Lepisosteus oculatus: one gene and its partners. The protein of the gene in region 1 purifies or fractionates together with the protein of each later gene. This does not show direct contact. Links are inferred from orthologs where the notes say so. Each region holds a gene or a part of one and is shown on either strand. Other genes may lie near its edges.

What was found.
Region 2: the proteins of dnaJ homolog subfamily B member 1 (region 1) and pycr3 purify together in Homo sapiens (affinity purification with mass spectrometry; 3 studies listed by BioGRID and IntAct, with this or other methods). This does not show direct contact. The link is inferred for Lepisosteus oculatus from reciprocal best matches to the Homo sapiens genes DNAJB1 and PYCR3.
Region 3: the proteins of dnaJ homolog subfamily B member 1 (region 1) and bag5 purify together in Homo sapiens (affinity purification with mass spectrometry; 3 studies listed by BioGRID and IntAct, with this or other methods). This does not show direct contact. The link is inferred for Lepisosteus oculatus from reciprocal best matches to the Homo sapiens genes DNAJB1 and BAG5.

The regions. Positions count from the first base shown.
Region 1 is NC_090706.1:21,692,552-21,700,236, forward strand, and holds the start of dnaJ homolog subfamily B member 1, read right to left. Parts: upstream 3,050-7,685; 5' UTR 2,665-3,049; coding exon 2,454-2,664; intron 412-2,453; coding exon 1-411. UniProt on the Homo sapiens protein: Interacts with HSP70 and can stimulate its ATPase activity. Stimulates the association between HSC70 and HIP. Negatively regulates heat shock-induced HSF1 transcriptional activity during the attenuation and recovery phase period of the heat shock response.
Region 2 is NC_090701.1:27,352,175-27,359,458, forward strand, and holds the start of pycr3 (pyrroline-5-carboxylate reductase 3), read left to right. Parts: upstream 1-4,226; 5' UTR 4,227-4,296; coding exon 4,297-4,333; intron 4,334-4,560; exon of another isoform or gene 4,561-4,646; intron 4,647-4,662; exon of another isoform or gene 4,663-4,819; intron 4,820-4,843; exon of another isoform or gene 4,844-5,007; intron 5,008-5,227; coding exon 5,228-5,323; intron 5,324-5,631; exon of another isoform or gene 5,632-5,695; intron 5,696-7,262; coding exon 7,263-7,284. Other genes in the region: bmb (protein brambleberry), read right to left, coding at 670-892, 1,220-1,405, 1,711-1,839, 2,306-2,563.
Region 3 is NC_090703.1:6,905,484-6,912,817, forward strand, and holds the start of bag5 (BAG family molecular chaperone regulator 5), read right to left. Parts: upstream 3,096-7,334; 5' UTR 3,060-3,095; coding exon 2,853-3,059; intron 2,477-2,852; exon of another isoform or gene 2,443-2,476; coding exon 2,135-2,442; intron 902-2,134; coding exon 62-901; intron 1-61. Other genes in the region: coa8 (cytochrome c oxidase assembly factor 8), read left to right, coding at 6,285-6,434, 7,327-7,334. UniProt on the Homo sapiens protein: Co-chaperone for HSP/HSP70 proteins. It functions as a nucleotide-exchange factor promoting the release of ADP from HSP70, thereby activating HSP70-mediated protein refolding.

The DNA of each region.
Region 1 (7,685 bases):
CACGCTTGATCTCCACAGTGAGGATCTTGTCCTCTGTGTGGGTGGTACGTCCATCAGGGTTCAGCCTCTTGTGGGAGATCTTCATCTTCTTGGTGCAGCCTGTGAGGACCTCTTCCAGGGTCACCTTCAGGTCATGCACTACAGGGGGGTCCTGCTTTTTCACGATGCCATCCCGGGACCCACGTCCCCCCATCCCCATGCGTGTGAAGCCCCTGGAGAACCCCCCCATGCCAAATCCCGCAAAGGGGTCATCGATGTCCATATCCTCATCACCCCCGTTGCGACTGAAGAAGGAATCAAAAGGGCTGTGACCCCCAAAGAACTCTGCGAACATGGCATGGGGGTCCCCATGGAATGTGTAGTTAAAATTTGTGCCATTTGGTCCGCCACCTCCAGCGTTCCCCTTCAGACCTGAGTGGGGGGAAAAGGCACAAAACATTACGCACAGGTCAGAAAAATCAAGCCTTTCTGCACTGTCCTGAAGAGAGCTGCACCATTGAGCAGCAACTGAATTTCTGATTAAAGAACCAAAGACATTCAAAAGATGGATATTTTATTTCACACAGGATTATGAGGTATGAAGAACAGTGAAATTGTTGAAAATTGTTTCTGGTATAACAAATCATTACTTGATTTCTGCCTATTTCGGACTATTTTAGCACATCTTGACCTTATGTACATGAAGGGTACATGGTACTCAAGGTACTCTGAGAAGGCATTCTGTAAATACTGCTTTCTTATCTGTTCTTTAATGCCCATATCACTTAAAATTGAAACATCACAACAGAAATGTGGCCTCTCAAAGTGTCGTTTAGGGTTAAACAATTATAAGTAAAATAATCAGATAACTCTACAAGAACAGGGACACCAATTAAAAGAAAAGTTCTTTCTGCCCTCAAATCCAGCGACGGTTGTTTAGTTCAAAGCGCACCTGAAGCCCTGCTGCAAACCTGCCCTTGTATAATCCCGACAGAAGCTCAGAGTAAGCCTCTAACAGCCCCAGACAGGACCAGGCGAGAAACTTCCAGAAGGCACGCGAGGCATGTACTGAGCCAATCAGCGGCTGAGCGCACCCGGGTCGCCAGAACACAGCGAAAGTAAAGTATTAGATATTCAATGACATTAATAAATTTACGTAACTTAACATTTACCCGCTGACTATGGCAAAACTACAGTACAACCACAAATCAGTCTATAACACGAATAGCTGACTTACAAAAGAAAACTGTTTTTCTATGGAACCCTCACCTCTATATCTACTCAAGCGGCTAAAACATTTTTTGACTAGGACTTAAATTCTTGTTTCGGAAATAAGTAAACGAGACTGGTCAAAGCGAGACAAGGTTAAGTTCTCTCTTCCCTAACTGATCATCCTTAACGAGAAGTTATGGTTTCTGATCCCTCCAACACGGGTTAATGCTAAACGAATCTGTATTTTATGCTTTCATATTTAAACGCCATTATTAAGGCAGATAAGGGTTAATGTACAAACATTACAAGACTCACGATTAATGATTCCAATCGGCTGTTGTGCAAAACTCGATCCACAAAACATCTCACGACGTAGGCAACATTTTAATATTCTACCCTACACTGAAAAGCATCAGAGAAACACGGCAGTGCTCAAGAATGTTTGCATTTCTTAAAAAAATAAATAATACAACTTCACACTTTGAAGGGGCCTTTCTCACCAACACTCAACAAGCAGTCATTTTTCCAGATTCCGAGCAAAACTTGCATTTCTTACTCTACAGCAAGTTTAAAGTCTGACAATAAGGGGGCATAAGACGGAGAAAATGTGGTGCCTTCCCACCTTTAACAGGCATATGAAAAGGGGGATCGATATTTTAAAGCAACAAAATGTAATAGATTGCGCGTTGTAGCCCCAGGCCTCCACAGTCCACAGCGGTATCCTGTCCAGCGCGGCACCTAGTTAAGATCGAACCCGATTACCTGCAGGGGTCAATCGGTCAGTATTGGATTGCCCGTGTCAGCTGTATGATACTACGAGAAAGGTTAAACAGTACCATCACTAACTGAAACTGCACCTTAGCACTTTCGAAAGCGCACTGGTCGATCATACGTCTTTAGTTTCGGTTTTGGGCTCTATCAGCTGCCACACACACCCAGAAGTTGCCAGAACATGCCGGTAGGCTGGGAGAGTCGGGCACACTTTCAACACACGCACAAGGACTTTAAATCTAAACACCGACTGCAAAATGCAACGCAATTCACCCAGCAAATCCGCTTGATGCGACTGAGCTTTAAGGAACAGCTCTCTCCCCATGGCATCTTAATAGAAACGCTTTTCTGGGCATCACAAGGAGTCAAACGTTTTCAGAAGTGGGAGGTCCTCCATGGAGGTAACGGGACACCCGGAATCTCACTGCTAGTCCTAAACTTGCCGAAATGCTGCTGTTGTGGAGTTTATTTTTAATTAAGTGTTATCTTACCGTCCTCCCCGAATTTGTCGTAGATGTCTTTTTTCTTGGGGTCGCTCAAAACGTCATAGGCCTCCGCGATCTCTTTGAATTTCTCCTCGGCATCCGAAGACTTGTTCTTGTCCGGGTGGTAGCGCAATGCCTGCTTGCGGTATGCCTTCTTGATCTCGTCCTCCGAGGCTCCCTTCTGGATTCCCAGCACCTTATAATAATCTTTACCCATTACAGCCCCGGTGATCAATTACACTCACAAGACGACAAGAGGAAAATCACACAAGTTGCTCTTTAAGCAAAAGGTCACGACGTCGTCACAGTGAACAAACAGCAGTCACGCGAATCAGCTAAAGGTTTCCTACTGTAGTTCCTTTTACAGATCCACGCAGGATAAACAAAAAGTCGCAATCTCAATGTCATATATACAGACACCTGTATTACGTACACCAACGACGCAATACCCTTAACAAAATAAAGCGCAACCAGCTCTCTACGACTTTCTCTCAAGCTGCAGAACGCTGGTTCTGCCTGCTTTCAGTATTTATAACACAGCAGAAACTTCCAGAACTCTCCCCCGCCATCAAGATGCTTCCTCATACTGCCTTCCAGCACACACCCCCGTCATACGTCAGAGTGTCGTTGCGTAGGCAGCAACGCCCTCCTCTACAACGCCACGGACGGACAAACCTTTCAAGACCACGCCCCCATTTGATCAGCTAGTTCTCAACACATCCCTCGTAAACATAGTTCTGTGACTTCTTTTTGAGCGAAAGCCACACGTAAAAAACAAATATTGCTTGCATTTAATATACATTTTTATATAATGCGTGTCCACTGATGATGTTACATAAACAACAATGCCTGCATTTAATTGAATTCTTGCTTTCATAAAAAAATCGTATTCCAGAGCAGAATTGCCAGAGTTAACATCCCCTTTTCATACGAAGAGTGCCATGGGATTGTAATAATTATATAGTTAGTGTCAATCTTTTCAATATCAGTTTAATGAGAATTTTCTTTACTCTGACAACCAAAACAGCAACATGGTCTGAATGAGCTTGTCTCATCTTATACTTTGATTTTTGCATGGACTGGACTTCAAGTTGACTTACAAGGTTATTTAAATGTTAATAGGAAATGAGTATCGTACCAGGTTAATGGTAATCTCTTACCTGTCCAATTGATTAAGAGCTGAAATAAAAAACAAAAACTTTTTTAGAAAAAGTTATACATACTGTAGTTGTTTATAAAGTGAATTGGGAAGATCTACAGGCCTGAAAACAGCATGTCTTCAAGGATAATTTTAAGTTTATAGTACCTTTAAATACCTACAGTAGGTTTGATTAGACAAAGTTAGTTGTACTTAATTTGTGCTTGTGATGATTTACCTACTAAAAAATCTGGTATGTTGCTCACCCCCATTAGGTCTGTGCACCACAGGTTAAGAACCTCTGAAATAAATTGTATCAGTTTCAATAAGATGGCTTGGTAGTTCCATACTCAGAATCCTTTTGGCAAAGAATTGTGTGAGGTAGTGACAGGTGACTTTGTGAGACAGCCATCTTTTAATTGGGGAGGGAAATTATGGAATGAGGCACACCTGGTCTGATAGAGTAATTAGCATTCAGAGAGAGTTCTCTTTCATATCTGATTGGGTTGCCTTAATGTCGCTTAATTGGTGATGTTTGAAATTGTACTGAGGAGTGTTACAGGTGCTGGACAGATAGGCTACATGAAAACTAAGAAAGGGATTAACAAACCAAAGGAATAAAAAAAGTAAGGGAGGCAGTGTAATGTTATTCCAAAAATCTCAAAAGTGAGGGAAGAACACTGTCCTGTGTTTGTTAGATGTGGTAGTTTGCCAAGCACAGTAGGGTTGATGTTTGCTGCTGAGGAACATGGCTGGCCAGCTTAACCAGGGCTGACTGGAAGTATTGATACCTGTAAGACCGCTGCTGTGTCTCTTGGAAAGGCTGCATCTGAGAGGAAGTCTGGATTGCACAGATTGTGTCCTGAATAAAGTCTGTGCATCAGCAGACAGATTGAGAAGTGTGAGAAGCTGGATGCTATGTCAGGGGTGCAAGTGATGGTTAAAGAAAAGTATCCCAAATGGGATCAGCTGTTACAGTTAGTGATGAGAAGAGTTATTGGTTGTTCTAGTGGACTTGAAGATCTAGTGACTTGAATAGAACTAAATGAAAAGCAATCAAGAAGGAAAATAACAGAGCAGTTTTCCCTTAAAGAGAAACACTATATCCTGCCGGGGGTGTGAAAGAGGAAAGACAAAGCACTTAAAACATGTATAAACTAAGGTGTCATGGTGGCAGTAATGTTATTATTGTGATGTGTGTTGTTGGTGTCACAAAGTGCCTCCTGCTCTTGGTTTTATATACAAGTCTATGTAGTTTCCATTGGTGCCTTCTGAGTTGTATGATATAAGTTTTATTTATTGAAACATGGGATGACATCCCTTCAGGATAAGACTATAACATTCCACTTGAAATGCTGTGACCAAACACCAAGGCCAGACTCAACGTAATGAAAACAAATACGCCCATTCTTACCACCCCAATCCCTGCAACAGTCCTTTCAGATCCCATAGAAGAAGAGGTGACATCTGCCTAAAGCTGACCTTTACAAATTAATCTTCTCAGGAACAATTTAAAATCTGCATCACAACAACGAACAATGTGACAACAGTTTCTAGGAACAAGAGTTAGACAGAAACTTAAATCTCCATGGAGGTGAGATCACTTCCTAAAAATAGCAGTGACTTTGAGTGATGTCCTTTTTTTCTATTGACAGTGTCTGTGGTCTCTAATAGCAGCAATGTGGATAGTCAGACAGTACTGTACTATTGGCATACTGGACCTATGGCATACTTGGCATAATGTGTGCCTAGGGAATGAAGTTTTAGAGTGATGATGGAGGAGTATTAGCCTCACTTGAAAGAAGAATCACTTCACAGAAGGGATTGTAGAGGAACCTATGAAGGAAAGAAAATGGCAACTGCTGTAGTTTAATAAGTCTCTGTTCTGTCCTTGTGAAGAAGTCTCCACAGCCAAAACATTTCAGGAGGGAAATAATCTCTACTTGTTTATTCACATCTCTCTATTCTACCCAGCACACATTGTAGATGGTAGCATTGAATCTATCACTTTGGAAACTGATGTTATCAACGTAGAATTGCTTTTGTTTAAAAATTAGTTTTAATATTAATGAATTGTTATCTTATATCATAACTATTTGATATTCTTAGCATTCAAGGACCGGACAATTTTCTGTTATTCCTTGGTTCCAAATTCAGAATACCCAAGTACATTTTATTACTCTTCCTCTTATTTTTGCTTGTGTGTTTCTGAGACTCACTTGATAAATAAACATTTCATTTACATATACACTAAACTAAATGAAAATTACAAGTGCATCTGCAACAGTAAATTATACATGATAAAAATGAAGAATATATTAAATGTTAAATGCATAGCTTTTCCTTTTTATATCTGTTTTTATGTGTTCATTATGCAGGACTGTTCTATCTTGGCACCTGGATTCTAAGATGTTGCTTGTCTGTGATCTTGGCTAATCCTTGTCTTCCAATGCTACAGGATTTTCATTCATTCATCAATCCATTTTCTTCCATTTCATGAACTCAGGGGGGCCGGAGTCTATCTCAGCAAGCAACAGGCGCAACTCAGGGTACACCCTGGACAGGACACCAGTCCATCACAGAGCACACGGAGACATAAACAGAGATATACACATCCACACCAGGGTCAATTTGCCCAGAAGCCAATTCATTTACCAAAATTTTTTTTTTTGGACTGTGGGAGGAAACCAAAGCACCCAGAGGAAACCCACGTGAACACAGGGAGAACATACAAACTCTACAAAGAGAGCACCCAGGTTCGGAATTGAAATCAAGGCCCCAAAGCTGTGAGGCAGCAAGGTTCATCACTATGTCACTGTGCCGCCTTTCTTGTGAGTTAATTATGTATATTTCTGTTTCCCATTTTCCCTTTTTGATCTCAGAAGTTCTCAGACCTTGTCCTGGAGTACTACACTCCTAATGATTCTTTTATTCCAGCAGAACTTACTTATTTGAACCCTTGAAAAGCAGATCTAACAAGCTGCTTAATTGGAACATTTGCAAGTTGTTGTTGTTTTTTTTTACCTCAAACATGCAGTAGTTAAAGGGTGACCTCAAAAATTAATTGTTTCTATGTCAATTAAGGGTTCACTTGTGTAACTGACAGCTTGGGTGGACTAAAAACCGGCAGATCTGCGGGCCTCAAGGACCAGGATTGGAAACCCCTGCCTAAGTTGAATATCTGGTTTTAGGCTGGTTTTATTTTTGTTACACCCTGCTTCCAGAGAGCAGTGAGAATTACTAAGCACCACTTCCACATTTTAGAGGCTCTGTGAAATACTGAAGAAAATCAACTGAAGTTAATCTAACTCAATTAGTCAAGACACTCTGTTATCCCTTTATCCCAATATCAATATGTTCAGTAACATAGATGCCTTCTTTGGCCACAGTTTTCATGTTCATGACAAGTGAGTAGTTGTTAATCCAGCTGCAAAATGAGGAATGTAAAGTTACAAATCACTATGATCAAAAATCATAAATATATTGACAGGGTTTTTTTTTTCAATCTTCTGCTGCAATTGTCAGTGTGGAGCACTCACTAATTCTGCATTAATTTGCTCTTTTTTGTCTTTCAAAACCATAAAAGAAAAAGTGATCAAATACAGCTCTTACTTAAAAAAATATTCTCATTATTAAAAATATTTTGGAACTAACAATAAATTCAATCTAAATTAAAAAAATTACACAGGTAAATTAGACTTGTTTCTAGATGTTGAGTTCACCATGGATATGCACAATGAATTAGCTTTCAAGTGAAAATGCTTCTTATGGGTCCAGAGGTGTAGACTTTTTAGGCAGTCATACTCACAAAGTATAGTATGATTTTACATAAAGAGACAAACAGAATAGGACAGCTCTTTGTTAAGAGATTATTTGGAATGAAAACCCACACACGCTGTTTCTCTGGGACCTGGATTGGGGAAAAAAAAACTTTCTTGATTGTCCCAGGGTAAGGGGGATACTACATTTCTCATTCATTTAAATACTTTCCAAACTGAGGACCCAAACACAACGGAGATCGTCAGGTAGGTCTGAAAGACACAATATGCAATAACTTACCCCACTTTTAAAGAGATACAGTTTATGTAATTCCTAAATTT
Region 2 (7,284 bases), on another chromosome or scaffold:
AGCAGTGGAATTGTTAAATATCTTTCGGAAGACCCCTCCAAAACTAATCCCCCTAGACATTGACAAGGGGTATGAGTATGGGAGTGTATTTCAAGATTATAGCAATAACCATCTCATGACCCTCAAATGTGATGCAAATGTAATTAGCATCACAAAGAAAGTGCACCAGAGATTGTATTTCCTGCATCAGTTCTCTTTCAATTTTATAGAGCCACTATTAGAACTGAATAGAACTGTTTGGTTTGACAATGCGTCTGTCCACTCCAGAGGCAAACTGCAACACACTGTCCACTGTGCAGACATCCACGGGTTGTCCTTTGCCATCTACTGAAACCCTTTACAAACTTAATGTAAACAGTGAGCAGAAAAGACTGTGAATGACTCCTTTCTCCTGTGATCTCCTAATAAATCGGCCTCGGGGAGATGCTACCAGTCGATCAGAACTAAATCTGCCCACCACCTTAACAGTTTCTGCGAGGTGTACACAAATTATTGATCGTTTCCATCTAGGTTTTAGCACCAAGACACCAGATCAAATTTCTTATATGTGCAACATACTGTACTTGGTAAATAAAGTGATTATGATTTGACATGATGAGGAATTTGATTTCCCCCTCCCTCATAAAGTCATGTGTCTGGTTTTGCAGTCAATGCGTGTTCATGTCCTACCCATGCGCTGCGTGATGCGCTGGATGAGCTGTGCCACCAGTTCCTGCCCAGAACTGATCAGCTCCTTCTCCTGGGTAAGTCGCTCAAGGTTTGAGTTAATGGCCGAGTCCAGTTGCTGCTGCCCATTCTGTAGAGCCCCCTGCTGCTCTAGAAGGGCCCCATGACTTAGCAACAGCTTCTCCACCGAAGAGGCTGTAACCTCCTTCAGCTCCAGTTGACCCTCCTGGAAAACAGGGAAGAAAACGATACTTGATGCACAGGGGAAATTAAACAGGCAGGGAGACTGAGCCTGACAGTCTCCACCTCCCTGATGACCAAAGAGGGGAATAACCTTGTCCATGTCATCCATAAGTGAGAGTAAGGGAGATGAAGTAATGACACAGAGAGGAAGATGTAAAAAGACAGAAAAAGATGACTTTATTGTAGTTAGTTTTGCATTAAGAACATGAGTCGCAGGCAGTAGAAGGCACAGCAAGCCATTTTAGACAGTCAAGGTACAGGGGATGCAGGAATCACCAGTGGGTGAGAGTAGGGTATAGGCCGTTCTTACCTTGAGGGTCTTCATGGCCTCCAGCTGATTGGCTGCCGAGGAGATGAGAGAGTTGACGGTTAACTCCGCCTTCCTGCGGAAGTGCTGCTGGCGCGTGGCGTAGCAGACCGAGCGTGCCCGGTTACTCACGATGTGATATGCATTCCAGGTGTCTGAGTCCATCTCCGCCGTGCACTCTTTGATAGTCTGAATGGGAGAAGAGGAAGGAGATATTGAGGTTAATACTGTCACCAGAGCAAGGGGGTGAGAAAAGAAGGAAATGAAACTGGAGGAGGTGACGGTAAATATTGCCTCACTAGGAAAATAGATCATAAAAAGAGGTGGTTTTAGGTTTGAGACTTAATAAATGGGTACACTGGAAACTAAACAGTACAAGTGATTAAAATGCTTAAATAACTGAACACTGCAAATATATAATATATAATATATGGAACTCTTAAATCCATGCTCCTATTCACGAACTTTCCAAACCCGTCCCTTCAGGACCGTACCATTTCTTCAGTGCAGGGGAAGGTTCTGCGCCCTTCTACCTCTGCTTGGCAGTTGAATAAGACCACGCCTAGCTTGGCCAACTCCTCCTCTGACAGGCTGCTGCATGTTGTCTTGATCTTGGCAATCACCTAAGAGAAAGAACGGCATACTCAGCACCATCTTCTAATGATCACATTGATAATGTTCTGGAACTACACTGGGAAACGTTCGAGAAGTCCTCCTCTTCTCCAGTGAATCAACAGACTGACAGCACTCAGATCCAGCTCCTTGCACACGGAAACCAGACTTTTACAACTCAGCTGCTATCTGCACCTCAGACAACATGACCTGAGACAACCAATCATCATGTCAAAAAGCTACATTAATTGTTAAACTATAACTTTGAACTATAAGCAGCCAGAAAAATTGGTGCCATTTCTGCTTGTGGAATATAGATGTGTAAAATGCTAATGGAATCATATGAAGGTTTGCATTTCTATATTCCTAAAGATTCAGACAGACAGGTAACTAGTATACAGACACAAAATCGGGACCCTTTGAAGATGGATCCATGCTCAGAAAGACTCTGCAAGGGGCACAGACTCAGCCGGTTACCCGATAATGGCAGGTGTCCAAGGGGCTCAACTCCAGCTGTTTGGCCTCGGCCAGGAAATGCTCATCGGCGACACTCATCTCGAAGGGGGGAGGCGCCCCTCCTTCTGCCTCTGAGAAGGAAGGTGGAGGGGGGGCTGGGCTAGGGGCTGCCTTCTTTGTCATCCATCCAAAAAAAGCCCTTGCAGGCCTGACGTGGGTGCAGAGCCCCCAGAGAAACAGCGCAGACATTAAGCGTAGGCCAGCAGCCATGAGCATCATCTGGGCAGTGAGAGAGAGAAGGTCCCTTGTAAATCTATTTCCATTTCCAGCTAAATCTCAAGTTCATTTTCTGAAATTGTGGTTCCATGTTGGGGGGGAATAGGGTTTCCACATTCTTCTCTCTTCTTGAATGTATTAACTATTCTTTATCTTGACATAAAGAAGTCGGCTCTGCAGCCCCAGGTTTTGAAGTCCCTCTTGTTTCATTACAAGAGACCAGTTTTCAGGGTGGTGAGCATGGATCAGAACGCATGATGATTATATTAATGTCTCTAAACTTTTGGAGCAATTAAGGAAATGCTACTCTGCCCTCTTGAAGTCTTCATGAGATATTGCTCCTGTTTCAGGTATGTTTCCTACTTTGTCTCCTTTGTGAAATCCTGTTTCCCAGACCTTTTTGAATATTTTCTAAATGTAAGTGTGAAGAACAAGAAGCATCACACTACAGAGGCTAGTTCTAGCGCTTTCCAACAAGAAAAAACTAAAAGAGAGCTCAAGATGTTCTCAGTGTAACATAGCAGACAGCAAAATAAGTGTTACAGATTAAATAGTCCTGGGATGAAACACAATCCCACTCCACTACACAGAATCCACTGTCCACTCCACAAAACTATGACCCTCAGTTTTGTGATACCTTGTGATGATTTTACATCTTAACTTTTGACTAAGAACCACAATATTAAAATGCCGTCTCAAAATAAAGGAACAAGCTATCATATTGTTCAAGACGATACCCTGCTTCTGTCAAGAAACGGATAGTTGATCCAGGATCTCATCTACTGTATCAGCAACCAAACGGTCTTCTCTCCCTTTATGATGTTTTTACTTTTTTTCTAGTCAGGACATGCATTTAATTCAAAAAGCTTTAACACCAAAACGCATTTGACATATTTTGAGTTAGTTTATTGATTTAAGATTCATAAAACACGAAAAACATTAGTCGTACTTCACTGTTCAATGTTCAACCAGCTCTGTGTTTGAGAATGGCCATTGTCAACCGCGAGACAAATTTAACAAAGAAAATAGAACACCTGTAGATTTTTTTTACCAACTTTCGCTAATATAATTTGGTTATGAATTATAATAATCAGATTTGAGATCTTGTAACTGCGCAATACTCACAAACGACGTGCGTTACACCAAGTTCTGTTCTTATGACTGAGTAGTAACCATTTAGTATTAACATCTGGTATCAGAATGTTAACAACGCCATGTTTTCACATTATTTCAAAATATGTACATATAATTTTCTGTATGATGCTTGCGTTGTTTTTTCCCCTCAATTACTTATAATAGTTACTACCTGGCTCATCCTAGAGGTAATAATTCGAAAAAACGCGTTAAACGATTATAACACAACGCTTACCTCCAGTGGCAAGATATGTTGTACCTTGTAGGCGACAACTGATCCACACAAGAGATACGCCCTTTCTGTTCTACTGAATAGACCTGTAGAAAAAATCGTATTCCAGCTGGAAGCATTTATCACTTCCCGGGAAAATATTTAAATAACCACGGATCAGCCAATCAAATCCGTAATGTGAAAACAGGAAAATTGAAATGCTGAATGGCGCGACCCCTGGCGTCATGTAGCGGAAACAGAAAATAGCATCCATTAAAAGCATATTAATTTGTGGACTCGTTTAGATAATTATTTTTCCAACAAAATGCTGTTTGATTCGTTTAGGATTCAGTGTGAACACTGACACCGAAATAAATACTTCCTTTAAAAGATGGTCATTTTGGTGGAGGAACTATGCATTTTGTCAGGTGCTGTGTGTTGCGAAGAGTCGCTTATCTAGTGATGCGGCTACACATTTGATGTTGTTTTATTTTCATCTACGTCTTTCTTATAGTGTAACTATCCTTTTATTTTAAATTAAGCCGAGGTCTTGATTCTATAAAGTAAATCGCTATTAATAAATGGCTTAATAAAAGACGTCAACTTTTAATAATAAATCGATTAATCTGAAAGTAAACAAGGAGAAAGTACATGGTCGGCCATACATTTTTGCTCCTCTACTTATCTCCGACCAGAACTCGAGGTTATATCATGGTTGTCTAGCTGAAAGACACGTGTATAGTATGTATATATTTATTCCTGGTTCGTAAAGAGCTGACTCGATTTTGCGTGATTATTGTACACTCGATTCTTATTTCTTTCCCCTCGGTTATTAAAAATAAATAGTTAACTGATAACTTATCTGTGGGGGTAAGGTATCACTGCAAATATATTGAACGATTTACTAGACTGAGGTATCCATGCTTGGATAAGAATAATACCACATTTTTATTACAGATTTTGCATCCAGTTTATACTAGATCCACTTTATTGCCGATGTATGGAATTCCATGATTTAATTTTAATTTGACTACTGAGGCGTTGACGTTAAAATGCATTAATATCACCGCGGTAAACGTCTGCAAAACATTGACAGTTGCGGGTAATGTCTTAAAGTTATGGACCAGACGGTTATTTTCATGTGTAAATGCTACAGTTTCCTAAAGCAGTTTTATAAATAATACAAGTTGTAGCAGATCGCAGGTTTCTCGCTGAGTTACTTGGTGTTTCACCAGTTTTCGAGTAATTTTTACACAGGAGGGAACTAGCGTGATTTTATAGAAAAAAATCAGTTGTAACATTGATTTTAATTTTCTTTTCAGATTTGGAGATGGAGCCAGATTTGTCAGATCTTAAAATTGGCTTCATTGGAGCCGGGAACATGGCCTTTGGAATAGCTCAGGGGCTTCTGATGTCAGGTGAGACCTCTTTCCTCAGTGTCGCAAGGCATCTTGGTAGAGTTTCTGCCTGCAATAGATGACTGTATGCTAAATCCCGCATTTTCGGGGCTTAAAGTTTGTCGTGAGACGTTCCTTTAAATTTCCTTTTTTTGGTAGATTTGCCTTCCCGGTTATAAATAATATAACTCTCATAAGTGGAGGCATCATCATCTGGATTTTTATTACAATTCTCTGATTCAGTCTTTATTTTAAAATTGATTTCATTTTTAAAAAGCTAAGATTCGTATTTGGTATAAACCCAAAGCTAATTAATGGGTTTCATAAAGTCCCTCATTCAGGTGTGCCTGCTGAAATCTAACCAACTGGCAGAAAGAAAAACGCTGACACAGTGTGAGTATCTGATAGTGTCATTCCCATCACCTATTAAGAGCTGCTTAGTCAAAAACTAAGGGAGCCAATGATGCTGTAGAAAGCTCTCTGTGTTGGCGTTGTTGGAAATAATGACTCTCTTTTAAAAAAAAACAAGGCATGTGTGCAGAAAAGTCTATATACAGTGGTGAAAAAGTTTGTGAACCCTTTGTCATAGCAGCGGTGCTGAATTTCTTCCATTTGTAAACTATCTGCATGACTGTGTACTGATGGAGGGCCAAGTCTTTAGAAATCCTTTTGTAGCCCTTTCTTATGAGTTTCAACAACTCTTCTTCTGAGGTCCTCTGAAATCTCTTTTGATCGGGCCATATTGCACTTCAACAGAATTATGGGCTGAACTGTTACTAATGAGACCGAGCTATAAATTGGTCATTACTGATGATGGGGTCAGTCGGGCTGGGAATAAGATAGATGTGGACACAAGAGCTGACTAATGCCTGTGTGATATTTTTAATATGGATGGGAAAAATGTAGGGCCCAGGATAGTATCTTTTGTGACTCCCTTAGTACCTGACAGAGGTTGTGCAACAAATCTAACATGTTTTACACACTGTATGTGTATTTTACATACACTTTTGTGTACTGAATTGACCTAATTTAAGCTAATTTATTATTAAATTATTTTTCTTATACCCACCCAATTTGGAAAGTTAATTTTATGTTGTTTGACATTTTTCCTGGGAGATCCAAGCCCCCTGACTGTACACTGGGGAGAAAGAGGAAGGCTAGACAGATTCCTCTAGCCCACCTGCCTTTGTGTCGCTAGTCTTTTAACACCTCACATTCAGTATAGACCTCTTGTCGTGGCTACAGTGCCGATGGGAGGAGAGGTGCGTCTCTCACGCCCCACATTGTGGGCTAGCTGGCACCCAGGAGCCACAGGGGTCACTGTGTGCTTGGGAGCTGAGAGAGCCCTGGCCAACTATACCTTACTACCAACCCGGTCCTGGTGACAGCCAGCTAGTGACATGACCAGTGGTCAGGAGAGCCTCTTTACCAGTGAGCCACTTGGGAGGCCCAGTAAGGAACTTCTGAAACCAAGCAGAGGATTTCATATCAAAAGCGGTACTAGACAGCATTTATAAGACTGAATGATATTGAAAGTGTGAACTTGAGTGACTTGAGTGAGAACCTTTGTCATATCCTTACAACTTTCAAGGCTGCAGTAACATACCTGTGCCCTGAACGAAATCAAACTGCATCTCAAAATATATTTGCTGTATAAAAGAAGATTAACAGCTTGTTTAGATTTTTTCCTGATGTTAGAAGCCCAAAGCACATTGGATATATTGCAGCCCTACAATAATTAGGGTCTGACTTAAGGTTAGGCTGAGAGGGTGTTGTTTAAATGTAGCTATTGTTAGTTGAGACTGAAGAGATTATGTTCCTGCTTCAAATAATATGCGTCTGGATCCTTAGAGCATATTTAGCATTTTTTTTAGATGATAGCATGTCTATTCTGTGCTCTGCAAGATAATGCAACACATATGCCATCAATGTGCTCCATTCATCCCTTGTTTTCCTGCAGGTAAAGTGCAGCCCGCAAATGT
Region 3 (7,334 bases), on another chromosome or scaffold:
AATTCAGAAGGAGATCTGGATCTCTGCACTGATCTGGCTTTTGTGTCGTTTTGGCTCATACCTGCACGTGTCGTCCCCTTCTCCCTCCAGGTCCAGGTGCTTCAGGAGCCCGTGGATCTCCTCCACCACCTGCTTGCGGTAGTTCCTCACGGCGGCGTTCCCCGACACGTCCAGGGCGTCCAGCTCCACCAGGAGCTCGGTGAGCACGCGGGCGAGGTGCGCGCAGCTGTCCCCGTCGCCCAGGCCCATCAGCAGGGCGATGAGCTCGCTGCGCGCCTGGCTCACCCTGGCCATCACCATGTTGATCCTCTGCACGGCCGCGTGGGTGTCCTCGGACAGCGGCAGGGGCAGGGTCTGCCGGCGGGTGCGCCCCTCGATCACGTCCTGCACGGCGCACACGCGGGTCAGCGCCCGGTACCGGGCCTTGCGCAGGGGCACCCTCCCGCCCGTCTTCACCTGGGTCAGCCGCAGGACCAGGTCCTGCAGGCTCTCCACCAGCTCGTCGCTGATCTCCCCGGCGCCCGCCCTCTGGGGCTCCAGCACCCCGGCCTCCACCAGCCGCTGGGCCTCCTGGCTCAGCCCCTCGATGGCCAGGCGGGAGGGGTGGGCCGAGTTCTCCTCCAGGAGCCGGAGCAGCCCCTCCACCTCCTGGGCCGCCCGCTTCCGGGCCTGCTGGACCTCGGCCTTGCCCTCCGTGTCCACCGCGTCCACCTCCAGCAGCTGGCGGGTCAGCTCGCGCTCCAGCCGCCGGTACTCGCGGTCGCTCTGCAGGCCGCTGAAGGAGCCCACCTGCTTGCCCAGGCCCTGCACCTCCCGCTGGACCTCCTGCAGCCGCTGCAGGCCAGGATGCTGGCCGCCCGTCTCCATGCGCTTCCCACCATCAAAGGGCTTTCCAAACAGGCTGCGGAGAAGGGGAGGGGGGGGCAGGGGGGGTCACCACAACAGCGTTCGCGGCAAACTACAACGGGAGCCCCGTGCAGAAGCTGGAGGGGCTTAAAAAAAAAAAAAAAAAACTCTGCGGCAGAGAGCGCAGTTGCCTCCCAGCTCCTGGGTCAGATTCCAGACGGAGGCATCTTCCGTGTGGAGTATTCAGTTCTCCCCCCCCCAACAGTCCAAAGACCCCACAGTCCAGGTGAACTGGCATCTCTAAATCGCCCCTGTACGTGCGTGTGTGCGTGTGTGCGTGTGTGCGTGTGTGTGCGTGTGTGTGCGTGTGTGTGTGTGTGTGTGTTCCAGGGTGTTTCCTGCCCTGCCTGGCCCCCGTGTCTGCCCACCACTGCCCTCCAGGGCTATAGAAAATAGCTGATGGGTGGGATGATGCAGTAAAGACAGAGAGGCTAAAGAGGGGGCAACTAACTTCCCGGGAGTACGTTAATTTGAGCATTTATCTATTTTTTAACAGATTACAAGCAACCTACTACTTCAGAGGCCTGCATCACCCTGTTTTTCACAAGGGTGGGCAACATCTGTCTAGGTGAGTAAACCATCATACTGCCTCACGGGGAAGAGCGATATCGAAATATCATCTAAAGATTTTGTTTGGTAGGAAATACGGCGATTGATTAAAAACAAAACCATCCTGTTTTGAACAAAGGGAAAGCGCTCTAACCTTGAGAAGACATGTCTGTTTAGTTCCCATTAGAGATAACATACAGCCAGAGCGATACACACCTTTGTACCTCTGTGGATACGGGGATTACATCACAGCTTTTGCGCAAATAACTCTCTGGCTGGGATTTATGGCTCAGTACACAATCCCTCCCCCAAGAGAAGCCGCCACACCTAACATCGAAATAGGATTAAAACAGCCCCACCAAACACTTTCACCATCCCAGCCAAAGGAATGCTCCTCGCCGAACCCCTGAACGCAGATTACAAACCAGCCCACTCTTTGTTTAGCAATCCGATCTCCTGCATTCGACGAGGAACATGTTCACACCCTGGAACCCACTTGCCTCGCTGTTGTTTCTTTCCCCCATTTCGAAGAAAAAAATGGTATTCTGTTCAGCTTAGCTTTTTTTTTTTTACTTTCCCAACCCCAGATACTTCGCTGCCTGGGAACATCAAAGGCAGTCCCGTCGCCCCCGCCATCCGGGAATCTTATAAAAAGAAACCTAAAAACGGAATTACTTACAAACGTGGTGGATATGCTGGCAGATGAAGCAGGCTAATTTGCGTTAGAAATCTTGTGCTAGAGATCTCCCAGCTCCCAGTGGGAAACACTAAGGCTCGGAATAGTCCTCCAGACGCTCCAGAGCATTCCGCTGCTCCGTGACCACAGGCATGCCCATTCCCAGATAAGCAGGTTATGTGGCCGTGTTGACACTGCGAGGGTTCTGGGGACTGAAGAGCACTTTCCTGGCAGGCTCCACTGCAGCTGCCAGTCTGCCGATGATGCGAGTCTTTGATGTCATAAAAGATTTGTTCCTCGTTTTCTGCCGTCTTAAAGGAGACAGCGTCCCCGTCACCTGCCCCATTCACAGTTCACACCGTGTGGGTGTCTGTGTGTGAGCATGTGACCCCACCCACAAGGATCACGTGTCCTGTTTGGCAATGTATTTAATGTATTTATAAACATTCCTTTGAAAGGACGCTTGTTTAACAAGAGAGCAAGGAACTGGCATTGTGGTCATGTTTAAAATGTAAAGAATCTTGGTTTTGCCTATCTGTTCATGTGAGACAGGAATAATTGATCGCCTCATGTCTCACTATTTTTTTTTGCATCCAAGCAGCTATGTTTTGCACACACAGAAACTTACAATACGGATGGATAGTACAAACAAACATTAAAAAATTGTAAATAAATATAATATTACCTAAAAGACATCAACCCAAAAATACTTATTCCACACCTCTCCTGCAGGAATCCACAGTTTCTCCCCCTCCACAATCACCATACTGCATGTCACTTTGTACAACAGAGCTGACACGCGTGAACAGCATCTGACTCCTAGCACCAAAAACCTGTCAGTGGCAGAGAGAGGGAATTCTCTTACTCTCCTCGTGCGGGTCATGTGCCAGCACTGTGATATCGCACCTGGCGTCCTGATGGGATGCATGAACAGCAGGTGATGGAGACGCTCAGAATCACAAAGTAATTCAAACGGCTGTCTCGCCAACCTTTATCGCTGCAACCTGCCCCGCACACCTCAGATAGCGTGGAAAGACAACCAGGAACAGTTACATTTCCACTCGGATGCCTCCCAGTAATATTCCACGAGTGCAAACCTGACAGGAGGAATAGGAGCATGCATGGATAGAGAGAACCCACAAAGTAGCACCAAGGCTTTTTAAATATACGCTCGATGCCATCACAACCTCAATTAAAACTGGCACTTCAATCAAGAATTCAGGGGGAGCGATAGAATAATGCCCGCTAGAAATATTCGCCATTCCTGCGGTACACACGCGTCCCTAATTCAGTCCCAGCGACGGCCTGCTCGCTCACGAATCGATGGCGCTGAATCCCGCTTACCTCCGACCCCTAGTGAACTCTGAAGACATGGAGGATGATGCTTGGTTGGCATTTAATGGTCAAACGTTCACCTCCCCGCAGCTGAGAAGAGGACACAGGGGATGGATTTATCTATCTATCCGTCCATTACCAGAAAACGTGGCTGATGCAACCCGGGATTTGTCCTGGGAGCCCAGGGTGCAATATGGGACTATAGCTTAAACCCCAGTCTAGGCCATCACCAGGTAGACCCACATGGAGGCAGGGCTTGCAGACACCTCGTGACCTCATCAGCCTGTCTTCGGAAGGTGGGAGGAAATGGGTATTGATGAAAACCCAATGTGGACATGGAGAGGGAATGTGCAGACTGGACCTGGAGGGGAGCCCATACTGGAATCAAACCCAAGAGCCCCGAATAACCAGCAGTCACACTACCGTACTGTGTCCACGGATGTGTCCGCGTAACAGTAGGTTAGAAACGATGTTCAGATCACTGAACGCACAAATCCCATGGAGTATGGCCACATGAACACCACTTCTGCTACCACCCATCCGGAGTTTCACAGTCAGTAAGAAAGTCGTAGAACTACTGCACCTTCATTCACAGAGACACTGTAAGGTCTTCACCTCAACCTCCGCAATCGTAATCCGCAACTTCCTCTGAAGTCTATCAATACTGCTTCAGGCACAATATTGCCCAACTGCAGCTTGTTCACACAAGACAAGTGCAGGATTCTGCGTGCAGGCAGCAAAAAACAAAACAAAAACAAAATGGAAAACACTGAGATAGATGAGGCTGCTTGTAAAAGGTTACAACAGGACTGAAAAAGAGGACGTCATGTAAACGTTTTCAATTTTAAACTCGTTAAAGATGATCTTCATTCCTCTTCTCGCTAGTGAAGCTCTGACATTTTTTATCAGACAGACAACAAGATCTAAACTGCTGTCCACCAGTTCAGGACTCGTTCTGAAGACGATCGAGTTTTTTTTTAAAAAGGCACAGCGAGATCATCTGTGAGCACTGCTTAAGAAACGATGTAGCTTCCTAAAGCTTTAACTTCCATTTTCCTCCGCGGAAACGTGCATGCTGCCCAGACAGAAAACACAAAGGTAATTACATTTGGTGGCACTTAATGAGTTATTGCTAATGCGCTCTGAGGAATACTTCATTAAAGTCTTCATATATAAACGAATTTTCTCGTTATTACCTCGGCTCGTCATTGATTGGTTAAGGGCTACCCTGTTACCGCGCACAAACATTAAGACACCCTTAGTTTTCTGTTTTGTAGCGCATCTCTTTCTTACTTTGATAACGCCAGTAGTTCGCTTTTTTTTATCGTAGTGTCATCTGTAAAGGTTACGTCAAAATGGTTGTTGTGACATACTGATTGACAACCGACTGAAACCCTAACGCATGTGCTCTCAAATTCAAACTCAAGGGCATGGCCGATAAATTCACAGCGCTGCCAAAGCACAATTAACGCTCTCTCCAACACCAGAGGCCTCGGAGGGGGCTATCGAGGCCGTCATGCAGGTGAAAATCTTAGTGCCACCAAGCTCATCTCCTACAGCACCATCACCTCTCTGGGCGACAGGTGCACCGAGCGGCACGAAATCAAATCTCTGGCCCTATAGCGAAAGGATGGCTTCAACCTGTGCAGTTTGTAAGAGGCGCCCTGCTCCGCACAACCTGAACCATTTTTTTTTCTTAACGATAAGCGGATGACAGCTGTGAATCTGTCCCGGACGGGTAAGTAGCCACGGTATTGCATATCTACCGTACGGTGCATTCTCACTGCCTAAAAACAATGGCACTGCCCTTACGTTTTCTGTAGCAGAGCTCGGCTCAAATTCAAATAGCAACACCTCGCTGAAGCGAAACGTGTATCACACTGTCAGCACTAGACCTGTTGGAAAACGTCTCCGATGGGCACCCTTGATCGCTTTACAAAATCCGAAATCATCCTTAACTGACACTGCTACATCTTTTTTTTACTGATAACAGCAGGTCCTTTCAAATCCTTTGTCAACAGTAAGAATTTCGAGAAAGGCTGAGAAAGAACTGACTGACAGCGGCGGTAACAACCTCACCCATGAGTAAAAACAAAAAAGGCAATTCCAGCAATTTACGCTTGAGGTATTCCGTACCAAAGAAAGGGGTCAAGGGTAGCGGTGTGCGTCTTACCTGCATAACCAGCGGACAGCCATCAGATCGGTAGGGGAGGAGAGAGAAACGCACAACAATCCTCATCGCACGGCTCCACTGCCGGGAGAAGAGTCGGGCCGGCCGAGTGACGTCACGACAGAGGTCCGCACACGGAACGGTCCAAGTGTAGAAATCCCGAAGTTCCATGGACCCTGATGTGAGACAGTATCACCCTCGCTGTCGCCGCAGTAAATATCTTTGAAAGAGACAATTACTCTCCGCAAATCACCTCGAAAAGAATTGAAAACGTACCCCTCTCTAACCCCATTTACACACCTTCCACTTTTAATCTTGTCGTTTTAAACAACAACTCGCGTCATTGTTTTCGACATATTTGCTTTGTGCTATACAAGTTGTTTTGAATTCATAAAAAAAAATCAACCCACTACTGATAATGCAATATATAGTGTAAACTCCACCAAAACTCTTGAATTTGCACGATAAAACGAAACTCGTGATTGTGGATGGTTACAAGTGCAAGGGGGCGCTGGATTTCCGCGTAAGGATTTTGTTGTCCAGCCTCTTAAGTTCACGGGGTAGTCACGTGGGGCTCAAGTTCGTGGGTTAAGTTGCTTCTGGAAGAGGTCAGCGAGTGGAGAAGAGGTTTGAAGGAATAAGGCAGAGATGAGTATAAAATTGTCAGGAATTCGGACGTGGCGATCGCTCCATCACGGTAAACTGACGTATTCCCGGTATGCAGCAGGTGTTTTGTCGGGACGACTGAGATACAGCAGTGAAAGAGAGCCCGTTAAACAGGAGAAGAGGCCAGGCGAGGTGGGAATGGTGAAGTCCAGTATACGCTGTATATATTTTTATTTTACGACATAACATCGCTTTTTCATATCTTGGAAATTAATAAATGGTTGTGAGCACATTGAATGCATCAGTGTTTAAGATATATCGCTCTGCAGAAGTACTGTAGTTTTAGTCACCCTGAAGTTAAAAACCTCTTTATTACAGTATTGCAGTGTGATTAACATCTCTTACAGACACATTGTTTATTTCAAGAGTCTCCTGAGATGCATCTTCCCTATACAGCAAGCAATGTCTGCAGATTTTAATTGTTCTCTACTCATCCGACCAGACACATTTCCAAGCCACTGGGTATTCCGAAAGATTAAAAAAAGTAGTGTTTTTAGCTTGTGAACTTTTAACTGAAAATGCGTTTAATAATAACTCGTTTCAGCACGGAGCTGCACCTTGTTTATAAGAGTCTCCTGAAGTGGATTCTCCTCCCTGTACTGCACACTCTCCTAACATTTAAATGTTTCTCTCCTGAGATTGTATGTGGCTGCAGGATGCTTTGGCAGTGCAAGGTGTGATTCCCTGCCTTGAATCTCTTGAATATCCACCAGAGCAGTCAGGAAGAGAGGTTTCATGCAGTTGTGAATCATGCTTTTATGCAATGACCTTAAAATAGAATACAGGATAAGAAACAGTACATGCCAGAAGTCCGCTTTAGGTATTGGATTGGCGTGAAAGAAAACCACATTTTCTCTCTCCTGTGATGTCTGCTATATTTAGACCAATTTTAATGAGAGGTTAAAAGGGCAATTTGTCAGTCCACTGTGTCGGGCTTCTGAAATTTGCAGACTGATGGGCCTTGTGTAGTTTGGCCCTCTCTGATTCTCTCTCATAACTACCTTACCTGTATTTGTCTCCACAGAGGTCAGG